Linked DNA regions of Oryzias latipes. The protein of the gene in region 2 purifies or fractionates together with the protein of the main gene of each other region. This does not show direct contact. Links are inferred from orthologs where the notes say so. Each region holds a gene or a part of one and is shown on either strand. Other genes may lie near its edges.

What was found. Proteins that work in one complex are often made in the same cells at the same time.
Region 1: the proteins of utp4 (region 2) and wdr43 purify together in Homo sapiens (co-immunoprecipitation; 5 studies listed by BioGRID and IntAct, counting the BioPlex papers as one, with this or other methods). This does not show direct contact. The link is inferred for Oryzias latipes from reciprocal best matches to the Homo sapiens genes UTP4 and WDR43.
Region 3: the proteins of utp4 (region 2) and utp15 purify together in Homo sapiens (co-immunoprecipitation; 4 studies listed by BioGRID and IntAct, counting the BioPlex papers as one, with this or other methods). This does not show direct contact. The link is inferred for Oryzias latipes from reciprocal best matches to the Homo sapiens genes UTP4 and UTP15.

Annotation. Positions count from the first base shown.
Region 1 is NC_019880.2:27,244,106-27,248,172, reverse strand, and holds the start of wdr43 (WD repeat-containing protein 43), read right to left. Parts: upstream 2,803-4,067; 5' UTR 2,750-2,802; coding exon 2,543-2,749; intron 1,941-2,542; coding exon 1,806-1,940; intron 1-1,805. UniProt on the Homo sapiens protein: Ribosome biogenesis factor that coordinates hyperactive transcription and ribogenesis. Part of the small subunit (SSU) processome, first precursor of the small eukaryotic ribosomal subunit.
Region 2 is NC_019864.2:27,342,690-27,346,202, forward strand, and holds part of utp4 (U3 small nucleolar RNA-associated protein 4 homolog), read left to right. Parts: intron 1-298; coding exon 299-390; intron 391-532; coding exon 533-629; intron 630-2,556; coding exon 2,557-2,621; intron 2,622-2,724; coding exon 2,725-2,847; intron 2,848-3,232; coding exon 3,233-3,389; intron 3,390-3,513. UniProt on the Homo sapiens protein: Ribosome biogenesis factor. Involved in nucleolar processing of pre-18S ribosomal RNA. Part of the small subunit (SSU) processome, first precursor of the small eukaryotic ribosomal subunit.
Region 3 is NC_019867.2:5,951,600-5,955,806, forward strand, and holds the start of utp15 (U3 small nucleolar RNA-associated protein 15 homolog), read right to left. Parts: upstream 2,803-4,207; 5' UTR 2,607-2,802; intron 2,104-2,606; 5' UTR 2,090-2,103; coding exon 2,000-2,089; intron 1,076-1,999; coding exon 983-1,075; intron 1-982. UniProt on the Homo sapiens protein: Ribosome biogenesis factor. Involved in nucleolar processing of pre-18S ribosomal RNA. Required for optimal pre-ribosomal RNA transcription by RNA polymerase I.

The DNA.
Region 1 (4,067 bases), on a different chromosome or scaffold from region 2:
AATAAAAATTGGTTTGTATTTATTCATATTTAGGGGGAATCTGACTTGAAATATCAGATTGAGCAACTATACATTATGACTTAAACACTGTCCATATAACCTAACCTGACAGAATCATATTTATGCATATTCTATGCAACTGTAATTGTCATTTAAAAGGTTATAATAAATAAACAATGGGTTATTTAACATTAAGGAGTAGTTACATTTATTTTTCATTACATTTAGTTACATGTATAAGTTATATCTGGCCCTTGAGGACAGACACTATGCTGATGTGGCCCTCAGTGAAAATGAGTTTGACCCCCCTGCTCTACATCACACTTTGATATTTATAAAACTGTATTAATATGAGTCTGTTAACAATGTGAAAAATGTTGGACGTGTTTTACTTGTTTAAGGCACAGAAAAAATATGTTTATGTACTTTAATCAACTAAAAAGTCATTTAAAGTGATTTGACTGTTTATTTGAACTGGATTCGGTGACACCCCCCCCCCCCGGCATTCCAAACAGGAAGTACAAAGTGGTTCCAAGAAACCAAAATCCCATAGACTTCTATAGAGAAATAAACAGCTGTTAGTCAGTCGATCTATTTGTCAGAATGACTCTTTTTGATCTGTCAACTAATTTGAGTTTATTTGGTTGAAGCCAGTCATTTTCTATGGGTGACGTCACAAATAATTCACAGACCATGGATATGTGATACGGCTCATCGTAGAAACACTCAACTGTTCTATCAAATATGAATGTGTACATTTTTTTTAACTGTATATATTTTGGGTATATAGATTGGGGGGGGGTGTTAAACCACCAAATGGCTCCCCCAGGGGACGGGACAAACGTGGAGAACATTTCTCATACCAAGCTGCATGAACTTTGAAGATTCTTTCCTTTGGGTTTTGCCTGTGACTGATGCTGATGCATCCACATGTCTGCAGCTAGCTTGAGCATTTTTCAGCCAATCACAGTTACATTGTCCATTCCAAAGAATTCCCTCTTAAACTGCTGCTTTGACTGTTTTCCTTTCTTAAATTGGGCACAAACCCAGAATGCTGCAGTTCCTCAAACGACCACTGGAGGTTGGTCCAAAAACCAGCAAACTCCTATCCTATGTTGATAACTTCAACTCTTTCCCCAAAATAAACAGAAGTACAGCGTACTGTTATGTCTGATTTGAATGGTTTTGCCATTTATCAGAAGCAAAAGTGATTTTTTCCCTGCAAGTTGAAATTCCTCATCCTTTAAACTATGATGTATATTTTCTCTGAACCATCACATAACTACCATTAAAAAAACAAAAATTCTCATTTGAAAGAGAAAATGGACCAAATTTCCCCTTAGTGGGATTAATAAAATATCATTGATTGAAAAATATATATATTACAGCAGAATGTGGCTATTTTTTAAAGTGCAATGCATTCAATATACAACCTTAGGCAAAGATTTGCTACCAACAGTCATGAATTAGTGCAGAAAAACCAACATGTCTGCATTATTATCTTTTTGTTTATTTCATTCTTTACTTTTCTCAAACCTTCAATTTAGTAACAATGAACTGAAAATAGAAAAGCTTCTAGAATGTTTTAACCAACACAGACGTGAGTTTCTTTAAAGTTTTCTGCAGACTGTGAGGAAACAGCATCAGCCTCACCGCCGTTTCCTCTCCAGACCACTGCAGATGATTTCTAACCCATCTGTCACATCCAGGTGTGTGTTGGAGGTATTATGGGATTTTTAGTCCCAACTGCAGGTTTGAGCTCTGATCACAGTGAAAGGCGTATTTTACATCTGTTCCAAACTAACCAGGGAACAGTGGAGGCTTCCCTTAGCAGTGCTGTAGAGGAGGACGCTGCCAGCCGCTGTGCCCATCGCCAACAGGTCGGCCTTCTCCTCCACCTGCACCGCCTCCGATTTCCTCTTCTTCCTCTGAGGTCCCTCCTGAAGAACATTAGATGAATTATGAAAACATGCCCCCACATCATCTATTCATTAGTTATGTCCTCCCCAAACAATGATATGCATATTATTTCAAACAAAAAGCCACATTCTTAAAAACTGATTTGTATAAAGACAGACAACTAACCTCCACACTGATCGCTCCTCTTATTGATCATGGGTTGTAGTACTGATAAAGTCAGAATGCTAATAACTAAGTTATTTAAATGGAGACCACCAAGCTCATCGTGACAACATATTAGTTACATATATACACATATTTATTCCTGTTTGGGGAGTCACCAACGCTACACTTCAAATGGGACATCCTGCTCCTTCACTACTACTAACCATGTGGGACAAACATGTGCGCTCGTGTGGAGCTTTTCATGCTAGCTAGCTAGAGTAACTATTCCGATAAACAAAACTTTTCGACAAACATTGAATTTGTAAAGCAAAATCATGACCCAGTAATGTAACAACCTATGAATATAGTTTATCTTTACAGTTTGGATCGCGTCCGTTCGATAGGAAACGCGTGCCACATAGTTTTTTCGGGCCTCGCTCCGACGCTAGCTCGTGCGGCTAACGGTAGCTTCACGCACCTTCACTGTTCGGCATGGTCCCCAGGCGATGCACGTGCAAGTGGCACTCAAATGAGCTGAAGGCACGTATTCTTGGTGAATAGTTTTGCTGTCTGTATTCCAGATTCGAAGTCTCCCATCCTGAGCGCACACAGCCAAATACTGGCGTGATTTGGGTGAGAAAACGCAGGGTAGCTGCAGCGATGAGCTGCCACCGTCAGACGCCATTTCTGTGGCTCTTCTTGCGTCTGCGTGCGCCGCCGTGCTTACACAAACCACGTGCGTCCAATCACGGGCATGCGCACTGTTACTCACCAAGGACTGCCCCCTCTTGCCCGCCAGAAGGTGTTGACATAACTGCAGGTTACATTTTGTGATGACACTTCAAATTTCTTTTGAGTTATTTGCCTAAATAAGCAAATATTATTCACATTATATTTCATTAAGTACAAATAAAAAAGTTAAAATATATCACGTTTCTGACCATTACAAATGAAGATAATTTACTTTTAGTTTAGTTGTTTTTTACTATTATAACCCCCCCCCCCCCCTACAGTTTAAATACAGTTTTAAAGGCCTTGGTGATTCTGCAGATGAAAGGACTTTCATTGTTTGATTATCTTTCCATTGTTCTGCTTTGTTAAATTAATTATGTAAGTGTTTCCATAATTATGATGCATATTTGACAAAATCGTACAGTGCTCCTTTGTACGACGGAGTATTAGGGCCACCAAAAAAAAAAAAAATTAGAGCCACCAAAAAAAAAAAAAGTAAAATTACGAGATTTTATCTCGTAAATTTAGGAGATAAAAACTCGTAAATTTAGGAGAAAAAAAGTCGTAATTTTAGGAGATTACAGTGGAAGTTAGCATGCAGAGCAGACCGACTAAACTTTGTTGAACAGGTGAGCTGAATGTTTATTGATAACGTTCCAAATGTCTGGAAGGTCATTTGTTTGATTTACGATTCATTAAAGTTTTATTTATTGATGGTTGGTTTGCAGGATCTCTGCAGCCCGATGAAGCCGTCGTCGGTGTCCCTGCAGCTGTTCGCTTGAATCCTTTCTTCTTCCACCAAAGACAAGACTCTACGTCTGTGTGACGCTTCCGTCACACAAAAGGAGGAGCACTTTTTTTTGGCATTTTCAACGTTCCAAAGCTAATATAAAACACTATTTTCATTCCTCTTTATTGTTTTATGCTGAAACGGGACATTTCATCTGCAGGAGGGGGCGTTTGTAACACTGTTTACTTCCGCATTGGTGTTGGGATGACAGGTTCATGACGTAATGAGACAAATGAACTTCAGGATATGTGAATGAAAAGGAGAATAAAGGCTGCAGCGATTGTCTACACCCAAACGTGTCTCTGAGCTCCTTATTTTACATATTAAACTCCGCTTTACTGACACTGAACCCCGGAAAGACTGCTGCACGGAAAATAATCTGATTTTGAGTTGCCAAAAGGTTCAGAATCTCTTTGTTTTAAACCTATAATAATCCGGAAATGAAGCTTCACAAAAGGCTCCACATACTTCATCTTCAAGC
Region 2 (3,513 bases):
CAATGGATGCATCTGCAGTTTTTTTGATATTTCTATTTTTTAATGAAAGTTTAAATTGTTATTCTCTTTTTTCCTTTTGGAGGAAGTGCAGCTTAATGTTAGGTCGTGTAGTACTCACCCAATTAAAAGCACGCTAGTTAATAAGTGTCTCAATATTTGAGTAAAGGGAAAAATAAAATAAAAAGGAATCTAGAGTGATAAAAGTTTCCTTTAATTCTGAATGGACCAGAAACAGTGTGAAAATCACTCATTTCCTTTGGAATAAAATTAGTTAATTGAAGATGATTTTTCCTTGCAGGTATGGACACCCAGCTGGTGGTGCGACCTTTGCTGGATAAGGTGGAGAAAAACACCAAGGAGTCTGCGCTGCGTAAAATCTTGTTCCCGCACGTGAGTGTTTAGAGAACAGAAACTTTGGAGTTTTTACTCTGAAGGATTTGTTTTACAAAGTAAAGCTTTTTTTTTTCTAAGTGAAAATGGAGTCGTGTACATTGTTGCTATAGTGATCTGCTCCATCCTCTCATCTTCACAGAAAAGTCTGGTTTGTTGTGCCAAGAAAGCCGGACTCCTGCTGTTCCAGTTCCCGGATCACCTGGAGCTGTGGAGGCTGGGGGAGAGCAGCGCAAAGGGTGAGCTGGACCATCGCCTCCTGCAAAGTTCTCCGTGTTCACACAGGTTCCTGCAGAACAGGGCGGAGTTTAAAGAAGAAAAAAAAAACATTTCCCATAACGTGTACTGTAAGAAATGTAAAAGTTTAGATGATTCTGTTCTTCATGTCAACTGGACTTTAAAGGTTGATCTTGGAGATGTTTGGCTGCTCCTCTGAGTCTTTCCTTCAGTCCTCTTTGCCGTTGTGATTTCTGTGCTAAAAGCGTTTGTGATGGTGGGAGTCCAACGTGAGATATGAGTCGGTATGAGAACCTCATTGAACCGGAAACCCACAGACACTTCAGAGGATCTCAAAGCTAGGAGGTATCGGAACATCGCAACAGAAACCAGAACGCCGGTGTCAAGGATGGAAAAGCTGGACTTTGGTGAAACCCAAGAAGAGGAGCCCAAGAAGGAAGGAGGGCAACATTTGACCTTGTGCCTAAACTGCAGGATCTTCAAACATTCCTGTTACCTTTAAACTGAGACAAATACTGGTCCACCCTAAGAACACAACGGAGGAGAAGCAGACCAACGAGGTCCGTGTTATCCAGTGCAGTCAAGACAAAAATCATAGCACAGAAGAGCCACAACATCAGGCCTGGACCAGCAGCTCACCTGAAGGCTGATGGACTCTCCATTGTGGACAGATCAGCTGGAAATTAAAGAAGCCATTTTTCGTCAAAATAACCTGACTCAACATCAGTTGTTGGAACTGAAGAACACTCAGAGGATCTTCATCCTTTAGAGTCCAGCTGCTCTGCAGAACGTGACCTGCATGTTGAAGAATGATCCATAAACGCTCCACCTTTGCTCACTTCAAGTTACTAACGATGTGAAAATGTTTGAAATAACCAAAAGAATTGGTTTTAAAGGAAATGGAATCTGTTGTTTGATGGAATCATGAATTGTTGCCGTATTTTTAGAGTGTTTCAGCAGACATTGCTGCTGCTTGTGTGACAAAGGCGCCGAGTTCCTCTGTGTCCTAAAGACAAATTGAGGCAAATTTCATCCTTAATTTTTTTTCCTGAGAAAATGTCACAGAACAAAACATCAACAAAAATCTCAAATTTTTATTTACATTTAAACAAAACGTTACAAGACTATTAGGACCACCAAAGATTTTAGTAATAAAAACAAGTACGAGAAGAAATTGTGAGGAAAAAATTGCAATTTTGTGAGGAAAAAAGTTAAAATTTACCCCAAAAAATGGTTGTAAAATTATGAGGGGGAAAAAACGAAATTTTACAAGAATAAACTCAGAGTTATAAGTAAAAGAGTCAATGTTTTATGATGATAAACGTGCGAATTTACAAGAATAGTCATAAATTTAATGGTGCAAAATTCTGTTTACTAAGAAAATATGTAAAAAAGTAAAAATAACCAATGAAAGAGCATTTTCAGGCCTCTCAGAAGAAGGTTGTGGATGGAGTTTTGCACAACCAAATATATTTTTGAAAAAGTGTGCCTTTTTCCTTGCAAAAATACAACTTTTTAATAATAATTTTACTGGTTTATTTTCTTAAATTAATGTATTTTATTATTTTCATGGTGACCCTAAAACTTTCTTAAAAACTGACGTGTTCAAACTTTTGTCACATTCCTGAAAATTTCAGGCTTGACTTACAAATACAAAGCTGTAACTTTAAGCTCTTTATAAAGTACTTTACATTTAATTCCATTTAGATTTAAAATTGAAAAAGCTTTTTTTTTTTTAAACAAGTTTTTTTTTCCTTAGAGAAATTTAAAAAGCAAGTGTTTGGAAGTGATGATGTGCCCAAAAATAGTTTCCGTAAATTCAAACTAAGAAAAAAAGTGCAGGTTCCTTTGCTTTTCTCTGACTGTGTTGCTGAAAAAAAAGAAAATAGGACTAAGATCGTTCATAAAGATGCCGGTCTTTGTTCCCAGGACAGGCTGGAGATCGTCTGCCTGTGATGAAGAATCCAGAGAAGCTGCTTCAGCTCCAGAACAAGGTCTGTGTTGTTTTTGTGTGCAGCTTTTCAAATCCGTGTTGAATTTCAGTCACGGCATCACACCGTTCTGACGGCATGCCCCCCTCCCACCTCTCTTTCTCAGGGAGAGGATCACATCTGCTGCAGCGCCGTGTCTCCATGTGGGAGCTGGGTGGCCTTCTCCACCGTCTCCAGCGTTCGTCTGTACAAACTGCAGCTCAGCAACGGGAACATCAGCATCAAGAAGGTGCGGTCAAAGCCTCAAAAACCTCCATCGTCCTCTTAAAAAATGACCCTTTACTGAAAAGCGACGCTTCGTAAAAAGATCTGTTAGATTGCACAGATAAACGCTGCAAAGCAGACAGGCAGCTGGGCTTAAGGCTGGAACAACCAGGAGTTCTACCTGCAAAGCATGAAGGGGCAGAAGTGAAAGAACCAAGAGCAAACATTAGAGTTTAGTCGTTTAAAGATGCACTCCTCAAAAATACTTCTAGTACTAGTCACAATTGATGTTGTTACTACAAATGTTCAGTAAATGATGCTAATTTTCTTTCCTCTATCCTTAAATCTATTCTCAAACATGTCCTCTCCTCTTCCTCGTGTCTTTTCTTTTCGTTCCTCTCGTCTTCCAGGTGTCCAAACTGCCAAAGGAGCTACACTCTGTCCACCAGCTCTGCTTCTCCTCTGACTCATCCAGACTCTTTGCCTCATCGGCTCAGGCCTCCGTCGTTGTCGCTTCGCTGGACCAGCTGCAGTGCAAACACCTTCACACGCTCAAACCAAAGTCTGGTGAGTTCCTGGATCCATGGAAGGAGATTCAGAGGAGCAGCTTTTTTTTTTATCTGCTGGAGATAAAGACCTGCACCGATCACCTTTTGAGCTGGTTTAGAAGTGTTCCCAGTGGTCTTTATTT
Region 3 (4,207 bases), on a different chromosome or scaffold from region 2:
CGTGTGTCACGGAGGAAGGAGAACGGTAATAAAAGAAGGCTTCCCCCCTGCAGAACTGCTTTTGACTCTTTATTAACCCACCCTGGAGAATCTGAGGGTCCGAACGGGGAAGTGAACCCCGAAGGAGGATGACCACGGTCGGAAAAGAAAAAAAGTCATCGCGGGAAAGGCGCCCGATTGTGTTAAGAGCCCTTGAGTTTGGCCTGAATAGAGCTGTTACCCCAAATATTAATCCAATTGGTGACCTCACTTCCCTTCCACTGACTGGTCTCAGCAGCATCGTCCACCATGGTTGTTGTTTATGCTTTCGTTCCCGCCTACTTCAACGCAGAATTATGACGTTTGTAGCGTATCAATGATGTACAGGTCAGATACATGTGGCCTGGCCATTCAGATGGCGGTTGCATTTCAAAAGATCGGATACGTATTGGATTCAGGACAACATACCCAAGTCACATTTGAAAAGATCAGATCTGTGTCGTTCAGACTGTCATGAGAAGATCCAATACAGGTCGCATAGGGGTAAAAAAAATCGGAACTGGGTCATTTCACCCTGCAGTGTGAACGTAGCCTTAGTAATGTCGACTCTGTTTATTAACAAGTCATTTCCTCAGCTTTATATTAAAGTTATTATATTTGCTTATGTTTCTCAAAACAACATATTCTGAATGAGCAACACAAATTCGTATAAACCTTTCTTAAATGTAAAATATGTGACGACCCTTGAAGTGGGTTTATGATAAGGAGATTAATAGTTAATTAGAAAAATTAATAGTTTACATTTACAATTAAGTGATTTTTAACCAATTTAAGTTCATTTTAACCACATTTTTGTAAGAGGTTTCCCTGACCATGTAACCTGTGTTTCTGTAATGTTGTAAATCAATATTAGGTGTTCAAATTCTCGTCCAGAATTTGACAACTGAAATAAATTAAATATAAAAAAAATTAAAAACAACCTGACTCAAAAGAAAACACTTACTCTTGTGAAAGCTGTCACAGCAAAATTATAGGGAGTCACAGGGGAAAAGTGAATGTTCGACACAGCTCCAAATTCTTTTATCTGGATTGGCGTCTGGAATAGAAAAAAAAACATTAATGAAGTTTGAAGTTTATTATTAAAAACTCAAGGTCCATTTGCCACAAGAAGCACAAAGCAAATAAAAGATTTAAGAATAAAAATAAAAGCATTCATGATAGTAGAAGCATGAAAACAATTAAATAAGATTACCAAGTGTGATAAACTTTTAAAAAAAAAGACAAACTATTGCAAACTAAAAAATGTAAAAGTTTAAAAAAGTGACCATACCAAATCCTCCAAATAGGGGACAGGTATTTTACCATAGATATAGATAATATCTCAACAAAGCTTGGATAGTATTAATTCTTGCATCAACAAACTGCACCACTGTGGCTGTTTAAAAAAAACTATAGGGCATCGTTATAGGCTACCTGCAGCTTCCCCATGCTGGATGCCCTGTAGTTGGTCCACAGGTGGGAAATATATAAGGGTGTGCAGTAAGTTTGAATAGAATAATTGTAAGATTGTCAGAACACAAATAAAACCTGCGTGCAAGCGTGTTTGCCTGAGCACATAAAGTACACCTGTCTGTGGAAATAATCATCATCTGTAAGTCATGTGACAGACATCAAGCTCAGAAACAGAACGTTTAAAAGCAGGAAAATTCAATGTAACATCTTCCTTGGTATGACAAATAAACACAGCGAATTATTATTAAAATTGTATAAAATATCATTTTTAAAACCAAATTAGGAACAAACAATTAAAAGTTGCTGTAATCCGGAGCTGCTGGGGCTAAAAACAACGAAATCATCTGCATACATCAGATGATTTACTTTAAAACCACCAACCATGCAACCGGTATTACATGCTTTCAGATTATTCGACAGGATCTGAACGCAGCAACAATAATTAGTCATAAAGATAAATTATGATTCAAGTCAATTAAAGGGATATTCATAGAAAAAAAGTATCCACCTTGTAGTTTTTCCAGTACAGTGTTTCTTCTGTGATCTTCTCTCCGAGTTTGGGATAAACTGGAATGTTTGTTGGTTTATATGAAGCCATCTCTGCAGATCGGTCTAATTTATATAGCCGGAAAAATACAAATAAAAGGTGACATCTAAATAATATACAATAATGCGCTCGTTGAATGCTTCAAATCAAATAATTTTCATTGACAAATTAAACTTTAAAACCACAAAAACAAAGTTGGATTTTTTACAGGATAAATAATATATTTTTATATTACAGTTTAAAAATACTAAATATATGGATGAAGCTAAACAAACATGTTACAACCAAACAATCATACAAAACATTTCAAAGAACAGCATCGTTAACTAAACTTACTAGCATAAAAATATCAACTGAATTAGCTAGCTACTTAAGAAATAAAATATTACTTTTAGAAACCAACATAAATAAATGAATAAATAAATATATGACCAACTACTTTAGTTATGAAGCTCTAATTTACCTATTATTTACACTAAACCATTTAAATTTAAAACCGCTGGTATGAACCCAAGCGCAGCAGACCACCATGGTGGTGCGGTGCAGTTAACTTAGCACTTTTTCTTACCGCTGGTAGTTTACTATTTATTCCTACCTTGGAACAAACAGAGGGACGGATGTGTGTTTATGAAGTAGAAAACCAACAAGAATATAAAAATATGATGTCTCGTTCAGGTAAATAAAAAAGTTTTCATTTTGCCGTTAAATCACGTTGTCAGCCAGCTCTCAGGAGGACGCCATAGCTAGAAAGAGAAATGTTGCTTCTTCTGTTAGCTTCCGGTCACAGTGTTACTTCTTGACTGCCCCCTTCAGGTCGGAGGTGGCATCTTCAGGACATAGAATAGAATAGAATAGAATAGAATAGAATAGAATAGAATAGAATAGAATAGAATAGAATAGAATAGAATAGAATAGAATAGAAAATAATTTGTTCATCCCACAACAGAACAGTATTTACTGTTGAATCCTTGAATCCTCATTAGAGATAAGAAGAAAGGATCAGACAAAATAAATAAACAAATCCAAAAAAATAATACAAATGATTTATTTTTATCCTCCAAGATATAATAGAAGAATAGGACATTTATGAATTTATCATACACAATTTAAAATGTCTAAAATACTAAATACAATTACATATACAGACTATGAAGATAAATTGTTCAAACAAAAGCTGTGCAAACACATTGCCATACCAGAGATATTTTTCTCTAAAAGGCTACTGTTGACTAGATTGCTTTATTGTCATCACACTCGGAGTAAAGAAAAAGACCACCAACTGAACGTGTACCATACAACAATTTCAACTAAAATAATTATAATGGGAACAAGGTAAATGTAAAAACAACTGTAGAAACAATTAGATTAGTAATAAAAATGTGTACAAGAGCAGTTTAGTTTAATAAACAATACACTAGCCATGGTATGAATGTGTTTGGAAGGTAAAAAAAAAATTTAACCAATAAGATTGTTTGCAGTATATTGTGGTCCGTATGGAGAATAGTAACATTTTCTTAACTGCATGTTAAATTAAAGTTTTAGTGTGGCATTAAGAAGCTGGTTCCTCATTGGTATTTATTTATTTATTTATTTATTTATTTATTTAGAGGATTAAACAAACAACACTTGGTTCTTGCCAAGTAATACTGATAATAATAATTATTAATATTAATACATATCACTGGCTTAAATTCCCAAATTATTTCTCAGTCAACAACTTAGTTTGGTTTATTCTCAAAATTGTTTACTCTTAGAAATAGTATACAATTATGATTAAAGATAAAAACGTTGACAAAAACGTTTTTTATGGTAAACAATTAAAAAACAAAACTGGAATTGAAAAATTGCACAAATCAGTGGTAAGGAAAGCAGTGTTTTCTGGGGCGACTCGTTGACGTCATTTCCGGCGTCTCCGCTGCTTTACGGTCGTTCGCACCGCGTGTTCACCCCAGCGCCAGGTTTGTTTTAGTCTGACAGCATTTTACACACTTCTTAATGCAACTTTAAATTATGCAATAAGAATTGATTCATAGTCACAAAAATATGAAAGAGTATATTTTTAGCTAAATGCTTACGTCTAATTGAAGATCATTAAGGCCGCGGTGTTTGTAGCTTTTTTTTCTTTTGCTAGCCCGCAGTAGACTTGTCAGGAGTTTCATTCAAATAAAC